2 linked regions of the Xenopus tropicalis genome follow. The main gene of each other region encodes a partner of the protein of the gene in region 2 in a complex. Links are inferred from orthologs where the notes say so. Each region holds a gene or a part of one and is shown on either strand. Other genes may lie near its edges.

Region 1 (8,398 bases), on a different chromosome or scaffold from region 2:
CAGAACATTGACTGCATTTTTATACTCTTGGGGTGTACATTTTCAAGCACATGTATGGCCATGAAGGTTTGGAGCAGTGTATTGTGTTTTTTCACTGCCATCTTCTGGGCAATTTTTATATTCAAGCAATTTAAGCAATCACTTGTTTTTGCAAAACTTCAGCCAATACCAGTGGAGATGCCAATGTGTCCTTTAAGCCCAGTTTGATGGCAAACTATTATGTGACTTTGCAGGGGTTCTATAGAATTTGCACTGCTTTTCTGCACTATGATATAGCAGATTATTAACCCGGACATTGTTTTTCATGAATAACCTTTTAATTAGCTAATAACTTCTGCCTTTTTTTCTTTAACTGCTTCTAACTTTTTTCTTTTTCCAATTTCAGTTGATAGCAGTATTCACAGTTAATGATGTTTTTATCCTTAACTGTTTCGCAAACTTAGGAAAACAGTCTCACACCCAACAGGCATTGCTCTTGCATACAATTCCATGTACACTGTCTACATATACCATATGGAATAATAGGCTGGGGCTATTTCCATGGTTTGGGTCACTGGTTCCAGTGAAGGCTAAATGGTAAAATGACATTCCTGACAATTCCATGCCTTCTTCTTTGTGGAGCAGTTTGAGCAGAATAATTCCCCCATGCACAAAACCACGTCCATACACAATAGGGATGCTGGCAACCTGGGCAGCTAAGTGGTAGATGCAGATTTAATGTAGATAAATGTAAGGTCATGCACCTGGGATGCCACTTAAACCCTTAATGGGACTGCACTTGGCAAAACCATAATGAAAAAGGACCTTGGAGTGGAGTAGCAGAAATCCATCCATAAATGAAATATGTGCCTCCTCTGTTGCCGGTTGATTCTCTTTTTGGTTGGGTAAGAGAGCCCACTGGTGTTGGTTGACTACTTGTATGTATAAAAGAAGGAACATTCACTATCTCTACCTTTGATTGTGGCAGATTTTTTGGGTAATCCCTCACCCTCCCACTCAACAACGTGTCACTCCCCACACTGAATCCCCCTGCAGTGAGAAAGGAAATTTAGTGGCACAAGAGTTACTGAAACACCAGAGCTATGGAAATGTAGGCAGAAGTACTAGCCCAGCATCCCCTCACCATTGCACCCTAGGCATATACCTCTCCTGCCTGCCCCTACTTCTGGCCCTGTTGCCCCACACCAGAGTTTGGAAAATTCTGTTAGGTTATGTGTGTCCTACCTATACAGCTGATGGATATATGTGTGTGTAAGTGGGTTACACCTGCCCCAGATTGCATGGGAAATTCAGAGATTTCACCAAGGATTGGGATAATAATGTTACAGTGATTTTCTGATCTATCAGGGAACACTGCAGAACAAGGTACTTCTTGATCAGCAAAGGAAAGAAAAATCTATTCTGTTTATTAACAGTCAGTTTTTAATGTCATGAGTAGGTTATTATAACCAACAGTTTTGGTCATGCACTTTTTGTGTGCTACACAAATGACCAGCTAGTAGGTGGATAGGTTTTGTTAGGTCATAAGGTTGAACTTGACTTATTTAATTTTTTAGCCACAGCTACTATAATACAATCATTTTGCAGGAAAACAGGTGTGTAACAATAGACAAAACATATTTTGCAACTGCTGGGGGACCCAGGAACTCTAGGGGGCTTCATGGGACTGATAAGCAGCTGGAATATTTGTTCATGGAAAATGTTCTCTCTCCAGAGTTTAGGGACCCAGAGATGTTGCTGTGTGGCCCAATAACCAGTCATTCCCTTACCTAAAAGTCCTAAAAGAATGCAAATTGCAAAAGTTTTTAGGATAGCATTCTTGTCAATTTACATTTACTTATTTTAAAAGTTTGCATATTCCTTAAATAAACCCATTAGGTTTGTTTTGCCAATATGGATTCATACAGCTTAGTTTGGATCAAGTACAAGATGCTATTTTACTATTACAGGGAAAAAAGAAATCATTTTTAAATGAGCATCCCACAATTCAGAGCTTTCTAGATAACAGTTTGAGCTCCTGCTGTGTACCAATCTGCAGTCTATATGGAGAATCTGAGCACCACCCAATATGAAAAACAGAGGGACTTCCATTTTTTTTTCTATGAATTGTCTTTATTTAAGTTTTAAAATAAACAAAGCTCTTGAGATAAAGTAACATTGGTTGTTCAATAGATAGAAGAAGAAGAGAGTGGAAATAATGAAACAAATAATCTTGTAAAATGTATCCAAAACAATCCTAAATTAACTTCTCACAGTGGTGGGGAGGTGATTATAGAATTTTGGTTTTAATGATGTAGCTATAGGATTTTAGTACATGCCAATCATTCCAAATAGTTTGTTAATAATCTGTCAGGTGACTCCTGGCAGTTGCATATGTTTAAGGTTGCCTTGGGAGGTTTGAACACGAAAATGCCTGTTCCGCTTCGTGGTTTGCCTTGGAGTATTTCAGCACTGTACCAAGTGGTGTATTGAAAACCAAGTATTGTTAAGTATTTGATTGGTTGAGGGGAGGTAATGTTAGTGAGCCATGTGTCAAAGATTTTTGGGGTATGTTTTTATTTACTGTACAAGGTTTCTATCCAGTCTAGATGGAAAATGTAGTTTTTGTCATACTAAAGTGCCAGTATCCATCATTTAACAATAAAATTAGGTTTGGGAGGGATTGAATTATTCTAAAGAGCATATAGAAATGGTCCATATGAAAGTTATGATAATATGCACTGTAAGAATAATAATAATAATGCACCTGATGCAATTGAATGAGCTCCTGCTCCTGTTAATTTCAGATGACATTTTGAACATACTTGTCCCCATATTATCAATTGAACATGTTTCTTAAATTTCATGTAAGACTACATACCTCTATGTATCTGAATGAGTGCACACATTTAGAATTAGTACTGGCTGAAACCATTACAAAAACACTTGCATATTTTGGGGCCGATTCATAAAAACACGAGTTCGAATGGGAAAAATTTGGATTGGACACGATAATTTCTGATAGATTGCAAATATTACAAAAATTTTTACGAAAAAATCGTATTAGTCACGATAATATCGTATTGACGATCCGAAAGTCACTAAATTTTCATACCGAACGATTGTAAACAGCGACAGAACCTTTCCAAATTCACGCAAGCATATGAAAAAAGTCGTGCAAGCGTGAAAAAATCGTCAAAAATACGCTCGAACGCTCCGAGCATTTATGTCTTAATAAATCTCCCCCCATGTGTCATACATCCCAGGGATACCCCTTGTCTAGCATGTATAATCTTCTGTCAGAACGTTTCATCTCCCCGCAGCCCCTTAATGCAGATAGCCTGAGCCTGGCCTCACAGGGCATGCTGGGAGACAAAGATCAGCAGTTACTAAAGGAGCCAAACAGCATGAGCTAGCTGCTGAATAACGCCGTCTTTTATTTGGATTTACTGAATGAGATGTTACAGTAGCGCCCCCAGGCTGTCATGTATAGGCATTACACGCTACGAGCCGCTAATGACCCTGAGCGCATGCGCCTGGCTGCAAATCCTTCCTGGGCTTCTGCCCTGTGAGTTTGTTTAGGTGCCATGTCCCGTCGGGCCTTGAGGAGGCTGAGAGGAGAGCAGAGAGGACAGGAGGAGCCCGGGGCCCTTGGAGGAGACGAAAATGAAAAAGACGATGAGGAAGAAGAAGCACCAAAGCTCCCGGAACCGCGAAGCCGTAAAGCACGTGGAAACCGGAAACTCTTGGAGGAGCGGGGCCTAAATAACCCCTTCCAGCTGGTGAGTGGGGGAAGGCAAATCCAGGGACACCGGGACCTATATGTGAGATTAGTACAGAGCCAGAACCGGCCATAAGGGAACATGAATTAGACCAAGCAGTGATAGGTGCAGTACTGTTGGTTAGGAACAACTAGTAATCAGCTGGCTACATCCTCTCAGTAGTGAGAACCACCAGTGACACCTACCCTACAGGTGCAGTAACTGCAGCCCTCTGGTGTATTGCTTGTCAACCGCAGCTCTGACTTATAGCTTCTGGCTCGGTTTCCCTGGCCTGTTTGGGCCAAGTGAGTTTTATATAAGCCCAGCTGGGGGGGGGGGAGTTCTGCATACACTCTCTGGTACAATTACATTATAATTCAGTGGAGAGATAGGCTAATGTTCTCCCTACAGTAAAGTGCTCTATGAACCATAGATCTTAGATAAGTGTTTATTATCTTGGCATAACATTAGGAAACAAAGGGAAAGTTTACCTGCAAATGAAATTTATGTATGGTATAGAGTGGTATATAGCATTTCAGCCCAGTATTTCTGTCCTTATTAGCATTAATGTTCAGATGGTTCGGTTTTAGTTTTTAGGCCATCTCTTATTTGTCTACCATTCTGACTTCCAAACTGTTGTCTGGTTACTAGTGTAAATAAGTCCTAGAAACTAGATAACAGCTGAAATGCCAAGGCTCAGAGCTGCTGAACAGAAATAAATATTTTAAAAGCCATACCAACTGAAGACTAATTGCAAATTGCCCTAGAATAATACTATATAATACTTATATTTAATATGAAGTGAAGAATGCATCCTGCACCTGCTCAGTCCTGTGTATAATGGCCTGTTTGCAAACACTAGCTGATGGCTGCTTAGCCTGAGCTGGGATATTCATGAAAATTGTCAACATTCAAGAGCAGCACTGAGGAAGAATCTAGGGACCATTCAACAGAGGAATATCCAACCTATGTACATTTAGGCAAGAAATACCCTGCCTCTGATTCAAAGGGACCATATCCCCACCCCACAGAGGCTGTTAGGACCCCCCCTTACCATGTTTTAAGTGAAAGTGATGCTTTCTGCGAATCTAAATTCCTTTATCTTTTCTCAAGAGGACTTCACACCACCCACTCTGCGTACTAAAAGTTACCATCCTGCCTTTTCCTTTCCGTGCAATCAGCTGTGTTTGGATAAAAATACTTCTGAAAGTAAGGCTAATGTCCCATGGGGAGATTAGTAGCCCACGGTAGCAGAGATTTATAAAGGGCGATAAAATCTTTACACTGGCAACAAAGAAAATCGCTGGTGGAAAGACCTACACATTGCTTAGTTCTTCAGAAGTTACCTGCAGCTGGAAACTTCGCGCCACGATGTGTAGGCCTTTCCACTGGAGATTCTCTTGGTTGCCAGTGGAAAGGCATTTTGGGAAGATTAGTCACCCATGGTAGCAGAGATTTATCACTCTGTGTGGCATTAGCCTAAGGGACAGTTGGGTCTGATAAGAATGAGGACCTTCAGGGTCTGTTGGAGACTCAGGCCATTGGTACCAACTGATCTGTCAGCTTGTGTTATTTGGAGCATTATAAAGTTTAGCAATCTAGTCCTTGAACCACTTGTCATATCTGCTTTTTGGTTTATGTCTGTAGATAATTGACCATGATTGTGATGCTCGGAGTGATTCAAACATCAAGCATGTCACAAATCCTAGGCTTAATGAGGAGAAAGAGACAAATACTTGTAAGACGGACCAAGATGCCACTGAAGATCCTGCTTTGAACCAGGTGAGGAAATAATAGTAGAGGAGTTACTTAGAATATGGGAGTATTTATCAGCCAACCGGCTGCTTTTATTAGGAATTTGTTTTTTTTTTCTGTAGCATATTTACCTGCCATTTCTGTACCTGAATAGGCTGCTCCAAGCAACAAACCAAAGAAGAAGAAAAAAAAGAAGAAATCAAAGAAATGCACTATTTCAGAGAACCAGGTAACATATCATCAGCTCATGCCCATGATGTTATGTTTTCCATAACAGAAGAGCACATTTGGCAAAGCAGTGATAAGAGGGATAGCATACTTGCTTTTAATTAGAGACCATCCACTTTGTTGTTTGTGTCCTAATGGAAGAGCAAACAAAAAAGGGAAATGTAAATGAGGCGGAATTTGACTAGTAAAGCTGGCCATACACGCGTGTATGGCAAGTCGGCGAGGCAACCGATATCGCAGGAGGCTGCTGATATCGGTCGACTCGCCAATCGGGTGGTTTAAAAGATTTTGATCGGGCGCCATAGAAGACGTCTGAGCAAAATCTGCCTTCTGCTGAATCGGCAGAAGGAGGTAGAAATCCTATTGTTTCTGCCTCCATATCTGCCGTTTCAGCCCTGAACGTCAGTGGCCGATTGGAACGATGTCGCACGAAAGATCGAAAATTGCCACGTGTGTGGCCACCTAAAGTTCTTAGACTACCCAACTTTCTGCGCTGTATAGTAAATGTACAGACAGATACTGACAAATGCAGGAGAAAAAGAGGGCTCTGCCAGTTAGAGCAATGCAGATAATTAAAAAAGCATAATGGTTTGGTGAATACTTGGAGATACATTAGGGTGGGGACATTTCAAGCATAGTAGATTAAGTTTTAGTAGCATTTAGTAGCAGAGATTTAGTAGCAGAGACTGGTGTTAGGACCTGCAAGGGGCAGAAATGGTTGGTGAGATCAATGAGTTTGGTAGCCATATTCATGGTCATTTTTAGAAATATTCCTTAAATAAATGTGACAATTTAGTTATCCTTGGATACGAGGAGTGATGGAGGCAACTTTGGGCCTGGGCAGACAGGGTAAGAGTGGAGCTGGTTTTTGTTTCAACTTATAATGTTTACATTGCACTTTATTATCTGTCATATATATATATATATATATATAAATAGGATCTTTTCCTGAATCGCTGTCAGTTATGTAATATACTTGCGGCAATTCAAATGTTGCCAAAGGTAATTGCACTTTTCGGGAGATTTGTCACCAATGGTAGCAAATTTTAATTGTTGGAGACAAAACTTCCCATGAGCCATTGCCTTTACAGACCAATTTTATGTGTGAGCCAAGCTTACTAGAAAATTACTGTGGGCTGAGACAGGTATTTTGATCTCTGTGTCTCACCCAGGGAGCATCTTGTAGGTCAAAGTACTTGGTGTGCCATAAGCTATAGCTAGCTTCACAAATAGGGAACATAGTAAGAAAATGATAAAAAAATACAGTCTTGCTTGCTTTGCATTTGTGTACCTTTAAAGAGAGAGAGTGTTTTTATTTGTTTAAAAACAATGCGTAATATGGTGCATATTAAATCAGTTTGGTTTAAAAAGTAAAGATCTCATTAGTGTGATCACTCTCACAAGAAATTTGTACCCTCAAGCAGGTGAAATTCAATATAATAAGGCATGCAGTGAAGAAGTAGCCCATGCTTAGTTAAATTAACAAGTAGCTATGACATAAGTGACTTAAGAAAAAATGCAAATAAGTCAAAATGACCACTCTGTAGAGTTTCACTTGATTACAGTCTGCCATCTCTAGAGAATGCTTCTGTTGAAGGTTGTACCAGATGAAAAGTCTGATATTAGCCCATCTGTCATGGGCAAATGTCTCTTTAGCCCATTTATTAAAATGCCTCCAATCTGGAGATAGTGTCCCACAGGATGCCCAGCATTTTTGTAAGCCATATGCCTTTGCTTCCACCACATTGCTTTGTTACTCACACAGCTAAGTGGCTGCAGGGGTTCCTAACTTCCCCTCAATATTTTATTTGCTTCTTCCCACAAAAGGCCATGTTGCTGTAAGCTTTCAGAAAGTGTTGCTTTCCTGTTTTCATAAACCCCTCATCTGAGGTGAGACACTGAAATAGAATTAAAACACCCTCTGTCAGAATAGCTCATTTACTACACTGCACCTTCCAGTGCTGATGGCTGCTTTAACAATGAGAGTAAAAGACATAAGGGGACTTCATTGAGGGGGTTAAACAGATGCATTTAATTTACCAACTATGAATATATATTTGTAATGAAAAACCTAACTAGTCCTGCCAATCTGTTCCACTTCCTGCTGACTGAACTCTGGATGTGCAGGGGAGCTGGCAGCACTCCGCACACTGCACTGTAGGATAGGAACCAATCAGCACCTAGGCTGACCTGATAGGAAACTGAAACCTGTCTTTGCTTGTGTGACTGCAGGGCTGTGATTGGCTAGTCCTCTCCTGTTGTGCTTCTGGCAGGGACCCTTAGGACACACCTGTCCTCTTTTAAAACACTGACACGGACCAGAGAGGATCTATAGGAAACTCCAATAAAGGGGCCATTTTTAAAGTTAGTATTTTAGTCCAAAGCAAAACCAGCACCATATATTATTCATAATTGCCTACAAGGTTCGAGATTTTTTCATTTATCCAATACATCTCCTTTAAACAATAACTTTACATGATCTGTTATCTGAAAACCTGTTATGTATGTATGTATATTTTTATTTATATAGCACTATTTATGTACGCAGCACTGTATTATAAACCAGTGCCTTGTACTTGATCCCAACTTAGATATAATTAATCATTACTGAAAGGCAAAGCAATCCTATTGGTGTATTTAATGTTTAAATTATTTTTTAGTAGATTTGAAGTATG
Region 2 (7,807 bases):
TTCCTCATGATCTTTCCGGACATTTTCTAATTTCTTTAAGGCTTGCTTTTCCTAAATGAAAAGTTCAGTATTAAGAATCTCTGATAAAATAAATGTAAATTAAAGGGAAAATATACCTCCCTACCTCCACTTTCTGATATGAATCCATTCAGTTGGCCTTATGTAGAAAAGGTGTTTAAACACTATCGGAGCTTCCAGAAATAAAGATAACTTTTTTGTTTTGAAAAAACATGATAGTCTGTGTTTACTGGGATCATTGTGAAGTAATAGATTCTGGCACTAATCTCTCTAGTTCCCATAGTGAGGGGTGCACACATGTGTCATGTACAGAGAATACATGACTTTACATTGGAATAGGGTGAGGGAGGGTTGGGATCAGTCTGCTAGCCTAGGTGTGGGGAGGAAGCTGGTTATGGCAGCACAGACTGTCCTTTCAAACTCTGGAATTAGGCATGACTGTGTAAAAAACAAAAAACACTTGAGTTCAAAAAGCTTTATGTCAAAAAATGTGGGTATATTTTCCCTTTAAGATAAAAATGACTAAGCAAAAATAGCATCTACTTGCTACTAAATATTGTGAAGCACCTGTTGCAGAGCCTTTAGATCAATCCTCTGGCCTTCCATCTTTGAAAAAAACTCATCAACAGCCTAAAACATTGGAAAAACACAATAAGATTACATAGTTGGGGGGCACAGCATAACTAGCACGAAGTACCTTAGGGGGGAAAGTAATGTATTTTATAATTTAATGCCATCTATTTAAAAAAAAAAAAATGAAAGACAGAATCATCTCTAGTTATTTGGATGTGAATCTGCCCCATCAAGCTGTAAAATCTACAGATTCATATAAAACCCCCAAATAGCTTTTGTTTTATATAAATGGGGTGTAACTATAATAATCCATGATCACGGAACCCACCTTATTGAAGGAATCTAATTCAATATAAGTGTTGTTGCAATGCTGTGCAAATAGAAAAGGATGGAATTCTTCATTCCTTAAACACAGACAAAAAGTTCCAGGTTAAAAACTGTAGTAAAAAATGCAAATAATTATAAAAAAAAGTAAATCATAGTTTTGTTGCAATAGTGATTTCAAGCTCTGCAGTTACATGACAAAACACTTAACACTGCCTCTCATATATTTATGCTTTGAAAGTCTGGACCCATGCAGTGCACTAGCAGGTAAGAGTATGTCTTTTCAAAACTGACTCCCAATCCAATTCTGTGCATCTTGATGCTCACCCAGTAATGGCAGACATCATAGATTTGCCACATAGCTATGCCTGACTTACCTGGCCTTGTTCTGTAAAAAAGAAAAAAAATAGGGTGCGGGTAATACACTCAAGGTGTTCTGCCAAATAATCCTGGACATTACACCCTAGTAGTAATTCACTACCTGTGCTCAACTGGTTCCAGGAACTTCTCACCTAACTAAACCCAAGCAAGACAGCATGCTGAAAAAAGGGCACTTTACACATTGTAAACAACTTCAATAACTTTATGTTCAGAAAAGATGACATTTTAACCCAAACTGTTTCAGTGGTTTAGGACAATTTTGTTTAACTATTATATAACTCCAATATGAAATGAGAAATTATTTTTAAATAAACAGAGAAAAGACAATACAGCTGCATCCCATAACCCTATGAAGGAACAAATTATACACAGAGAAGATGTGAAAATATGTGCTAAAAATGTATGCATGAACCACTCAAGTGAGGGCTTGGGAAGTCCCTGCTAATGGCTGTCTTACATCCTCAAATTCTTTATGATATATTTAAAGGCTACTCACGTGAATATATCTTCAGAGGGTTTGTCAGGCTCCAAGCTTGGCTTTTTCTCTCTTTTCTGAATTATAAAACCCTGTGGATTTCGAGGGAATAACATGTTATACTGAATGCAAGATAAAGGGCAACACAGTGCATAGGGACTGTTTATATGCCCCTGCATTTTGTAGGCAGGAGGAGAGAAGAGGATCCACGTTCATCCACAGCTCCATGCAGCTGCACTGACAGATGTGTCAGTCTAATGTGTTGCCTTCAGAGGAAACTTCCGCGATTTCGATGTATGCCATCCCACCGACGATTTACATTCAAGCCGGTGGGATGGCATATCGGGGAGATTAGTCGCCCACGACAAGGGAGATTTGTTGCGGGTGACTAATCTCCCCATCTGCCACGGCCCTTAAAGTTACCAGGAGTGGCTTTTTGCCGCCCCTGGTAACTTATGAGATGCTGTCATCTGAGGCGATTTTCATGACTCGCCTCATAGCAGCAGCGACCCTGAGTACTAAGAGCACACATACATGTTAGGCCAATTAACGGACAAAGTCTTTTACTCCCACACGTCTTCTATAATAAGAGATACATTATCTTTGGTCATGTTATCTCTGAGGGAGCACACAGCCCATCACTAAATGGTGGCTCAAGGGAAAAGATGTAAAAGGGCAATATTTACTTTTATATATATATATTCCAGTTTGGTAAGATTCTTTAATAGGTCACTTAATATGATATAAACTATACATTGGTTAAGTATTCATTCTGGGGGTATAGCTTTCCTTAAATCTTGTGCTGGCTCTGATATTCACTACAAAGGGCTAATTAAACAACATCCTACCTTCCCTTTAAAGTGCTGTGTTACATCCATGTATTCCTCTGCCTTTCTTAGTGCAGTATGCACCTTCTCCAAATCTTAAAATTAGAGAAAAGGCAGTTCAGTTTTACTACTATAGATTTAAAACTTAAAAGTAAAATTGTTAATAGCCGCTGCACTGACCTTCAGGTCCAGAAATCTGGTCAACCTTGACATTGCTGGAAAGTCCTGTATCTAACAGGCAATGCTCAATCAGAGTAGCACCATAAGCTACACAGAGATAAGAACACACGTTACTTTCCATACACTGCATATCGTCAATAATAATTATGTTACAAAAAACAAAAAAAAAAAAAAACTTACGGAGATGTGGATTAAGAACTCTTTTCAACTGATCACCCTTCTGTGCTTTCTCTAGGATTTCCTTTAGTCTAGAAACAAAACAAGTGTGCCCGTAATTGTACAGAAAATATGGTGAATAGGAATACTGATGTATAGAGAAACTCTCCAGGCACCATTGCATTAAGTCCTGCAGAGTCAGGATTCCCCTTGTTGACCAATTTAGAATCTAAACTAAACAAATGTTTTTCCACAGAGGTGTATTGCCAGATATATGCAATTTGACGAATTTACCCATCTTAACTGCCTCTTGTCATGCATGAAGAAGAGACTCTATTGTCACTGGTAAGGACCAGACTCCATAAAACCCTCAATATGGGCACACTCTGAGCACCTCTTGTATTCCCACCAGCTGAGCTTGATCAATGGCTCCTCTATTGCAAATAAAACCATTAATGTATTTGTGAGAGATTTTTATACAAAAAAATTATACTGTAAGGTACTGGATTCGAATTCAGCCACATTAGTCTTTAATAGGCTAACTCTGACAAACTAAAAAAGGAATATTTATGCATACCACACTAAAAATGGTTACCCACACAACAAGAAAATTAAGCAAAAGAATTTACTTTTCCACACTGAGTAGCGGTTCAGGAGCTTTGGCATGATCTATAGGATAATGTTCTCGAACTGCAAATTTTACATCATCTGCCTCATCTGTTCGAAACCTTAGGATGTTTAAAATTAGATATTCATGGTCTGTAAGGACAATGTTGCCCTGGAAAGACATTAAGGAAACATTAAGGAAAAGTCTGCATAGGTGTACATATAAAATGATCCCTTAAATAAATTAAGCAAAGGATAAGAAATTGGGTGCAGATAGTTTTGGATCTTAAGGTATTGGGCATAATGCTGATGTTTTAGTTTAAACCTTTTTTAAGGGGAACTTAGCACCATGACACAGAACCAAATAGAAAAGAACATTAGTGAATCTATACTTTAAAGTAAAAATAGTGATGCTAAATCATTAAACACAGTAGCACATAGTAACCCCATGCACAGATTTATTTATTTTTTTACAGAAAGCTACCTGTGTGGCTTATACCCAATGCTTCATTGATACAAGAGATTGGTTTCACTGTCTCTTGGCATTTTTACTTTGAGCACAATAATACAGCCAGAGACCACACAGCAATGCACACAGCTATGCACATTTGACGGTTACTGACAAAGCCCAAATGTACACTTGCTTACCCGATCATACAGCTCCACAATGAGATGATAGGCAGCTTCATCTGAACCAAACTGGAAATCCACAATCCTGTCCACACCTAGCTGTTTAATGCTTACCAGCCTCCTAGACTTTAAATGCTTACGGCACTGTGGACAATAAGAAGCAAAGATCTGATGCTATGGTTTTCAAAAACAGAATGTAGTAATAAGTATTTATTTTCTGCACAATTCTGAATGAAAACACAGACCAACTTACCCCCTACTGCCTAGAAGTCTGGTGCTTTCCTGGTACATTTAAGGGCTCTGGCACACGGGGTGATTAGTCGCCCGCGACAAATCTCCCTGTTCGCGGGCGGCTAATCTCCCCAAAATGCCATCCCACCGGCAATTTACATTTTCGCCGGTGGGATGGCATTTCAGGGAGATTAGTCGCCCGTGAACAGGGAGATTTGTCACGGGCGACTAATCTCCCCATGTGCCAGAGCCCTAAGGCTCCCTGTTCGCGGGCGACTAATCTCCCCGAATTGCCATCAGTTGCCATCCCACCGGCGAAAATGTAAGTAGCTGGTGGGATGGCAGACGCGGCAGCACGATTTCGGCAAATCGCCGAAAATGCCTCGCGAGGCAACTTCGGCGATTTGCCGAAATCATCTGCGCAGTGTGTGCCATCCCACCGGCGACTTACATTTTTGCCGGTGGGATGGCAACTCGGGCGATTAGTTGCCCGCGAACAGGGAGATTTGTCACAGGCGACTAATCTCCCCGTGTGCCAGAGCCCTAAAACGTGAGCTTTTTTAAATTGCTTTCATGTGTTTATTTTTTCACCTTCTCATGTCTCCCGGGACCAGCTCTATGAGGGGGGTCGCTGCACTGATTCTCTAAACTGTACATGCGTTGATACATTTCTTATCATTTCTTATGGCCCTGCTGAGTATAATCCCTGAGTTTCATTAAAGGCATATTGGATACAATGGTTGATAACATTGAACAGCTGCAGCTAAGAAATGTAAATCGCCAGTAGGATGGCATTCCTGTCAAGGCAAATTAATCTCCCCTCTGCCATGGCCCTAATGTAGCAAATTGTAACAGTTCAGAGGCAGCACCTGGATAACTGAGCTGCCAGACTGAAGCACAAGAAAGAGGAATTTTAAACTTTAAATTTAAAAAACAGTAACCAAAAGTAACCGAAAAAAGGCTTTATTTTTGGTGTAATGTCTGAAAACATCTGAACTGAGAAAAGTTTTTAGAAGGTGTAGGGATGGAAGGCTGTCACAGCAGCTTTATACACTGAAAGGCAATGGCAAATGTTTAATGAATGTATATTCCACTTACGTAAATTTTTATTAGTTTAATGCTGCTTTTAAAAGCAGCTGTATAGGTTAAACTAGAGAGTTAGTGGGTCTTTAAAGGAGAAGGAAAGGCAAAGTCACTTGGGGGTGCCAAAATGTTAGGCACCCCCAAGTCACTTAAATCGCCTACCTTGTACCCCGGGCTGGTGCCCCTGTTCGGGGTAGCTGCAGCGCTTCCTCCTTCCTGTTCGCTCGTGCGCGCATGCGCAAAAGAGTGAAAAGCTGAACTTTAACAGAGAAGTCGGCTTTTCACTCTACTGTGCATGCGCCTGTCGTGTAGTCCTTGCAAAACGAAGCCGGAAGGAGGAAGCGCATCGCTACAGGTACCCCGGGCTGGTGCTGTTTTCTCCTAACAGGGGCACCAGCCCGGGGTACAAGGTAAGCGATTAAAGTCACTTGGGGGAGCCTAACATTTTGGCACCCCCAAGTGACTTAGCCTTTCTTTGTCCTTTAATACACCTTTTCAGTTTTGAGTTTTCCACTAATCACATGAATGTGCCTAGACTGGCACAGATACAAATATTATTGATAAACAGGACCATGCAAAGAGCTATAAAAAAAAAACAATGGCAAGGTTGGAGATCCATAGACAGAAAAGGCCACTAGCTCTAGGAGAAAAAAAGCATGGAGGGGTTGCCAGCAAGAAAAAAATATCAATTATACATTTCAAATGGTTCTTTCTTTCACTAACCTTCATTGCAAATCCGGACGGCATCATATTCTTGGGCCACTCAAATTCTGTAGTGTGAATTCTAATCCCTGATTCAACTAGTAGTACGGCTTTTGAGTCTGGCCTGTTAATGAAGAGTTGATAATATTCTAATATTTAGCGATAAAAAGAATACTGTATTAAAAGCTGAAACCTTTGCTACAGGTCTAGGCACCCAATCAGCAGGTAGCATTTATTGGTCACGTTTGTTTTCTGTGGGTGACTGGGCAAATTTACTGCCTTCAATTACATCCATAATTATTCTCAAGCAATGCATATCCATTACATCGAATTCCTTTCATGAAATAAGACTGGAGATGTCACACTGAAAGGTACATGGAATGGGGATCTCCAATATGTGGCCTGCCTGCTACATTGCACAGCATCTCTCTATAATGAACAGCTATGAACAGCTACTGGGTTATAGAATAGGGAACGTGCAAGTGAAGCTATGGCAGCCTATTGAAATTTATTAAGGCAAAGAGTATAAAACTATGCAGCATATCACAGATGCTTAGAAAGGGACTCCATCCTTCTGTTTCATTTGCTGTTTCATTTGCATGAGCACAGTTTAATATAACAAAATTCCCAAACTTAATTTCCACATAATAACGAGCAGAATCTTACTTCTGAAGCCGGATGAGATATGTCTTATTGTCCACATCATACACATTGTGTACACGCAGTCCCAGCAAGCTGTAACATAAAAAAAAAGTCATACCACTGGCCAAGTAATATCTGCATCATACCCACCATGTATCCGCATGTTACCCACCATGTATCCGCATGTTACCTGCCACATAACTGCATGTTACCCACCATGTATCTGCATGTTACCTGCCACATAACTGCATGTTACCCACCATGTATCTGCATGTTACCTGCCACATAACTGCATGTTACCCACCATGTATCTGCATGTTACCTGCCACACAACTGCATGTTACCCACCATGTATCTGCATGTTACCTGCCACACAACTGCATGTTACCCGCCACATAACTGCATGTTACCCACCATGTATCTGCATGTTACCTGCCACATAACTGCATGTTACCCACCATGTATATGCATGTTACCTGCCACATAACTGCATGTTACCCACCATGTATATGCATATCACACCTATTAACAAAAGCTTTTGTCAGCCTTTTTTCTTACACTGCCCAAGTTAAATTATAATGCAGGACAAATAAAACATGCTCCTTACAGGGGCACCGATTGTTGTGCCTGGCTAAAGGTTGCTCTACTTAACCCCCTATGGCTGTGGTTCAGCAACAACCAGACCCCTGTCACAAATGCAATGTGCTGTTACACAGATATGGTCAGGTAGAAATGAGGTGGCAGTTTGTATAAGATGCAGATCTTACATGGGCAGGGACGTTATTAAGTAGAATAAAGATCACCTGTCACTTAGCTCCGCGATGACAGCCCGGATATCTATAGTGTTGAATCTGCTCTTCATTTTTCTTCGACAACAGCGCAACCTTCGCACAGGAAAGCGCTGAGAAACTCAAAGCCGAAGTCCCATTACCGCATGCGCACATAGCTACGGCAAGCCTAGCGGATCAAATCCGTGAAA

What was found.
Region 1: nemf (region 2) and tcf25 share a complex: the UniProt entries of both Homo sapiens proteins name them as parts of the ribosome quality control complex. The link is inferred for Xenopus tropicalis from reciprocal best matches to the Homo sapiens genes NEMF and TCF25.

What each region holds. Positions count from the first base shown.
Region 1 is NC_030680.2:59,796,156-59,804,553, reverse strand, and holds the start of tcf25 (transcription factor 25), read left to right. Parts: upstream 1-3,506; 5' UTR 3,507-3,566; coding exon 3,567-3,761; intron 3,762-5,387; coding exon 5,388-5,522; intron 5,523-5,649; coding exon 5,650-5,724; intron 5,725-8,398. UniProt on the Homo sapiens protein: Component of the ribosome quality control complex (RQC), a ribosome-associated complex that mediates ubiquitination and extraction of incompletely synthesized nascent chains for proteasomal degradation.
Region 2 is NC_030684.2:93,088,533-93,096,339, reverse strand, and holds part of nemf (nuclear export mediator factor NEMF), read right to left. Parts: 5' UTR 7,691-7,807; coding exon 7,632-7,690; intron 6,922-7,631; coding exon 6,853-6,921; intron 6,311-6,852; coding exon 6,208-6,310; intron 4,315-6,207; coding exon 4,189-4,314; intron 3,713-4,188; coding exon 3,564-3,712; intron 3,027-3,563; coding exon 2,959-3,026; intron 2,866-2,958; coding exon 2,779-2,865; intron 2,694-2,778; coding exon 2,620-2,693; intron 1,864-2,619; coding exon 1,793-1,863; intron 996-1,792; coding exon 920-995; intron 649-919; coding exon 586-648; intron 52-585; coding exon 1-51. UniProt on the Homo sapiens protein: Key component of the ribosome quality control complex (RQC), a ribosome-associated complex that mediates the extraction of incompletely synthesized nascent chains from stalled ribosomes as well as their ubiquitin-mediated proteasomal degradation.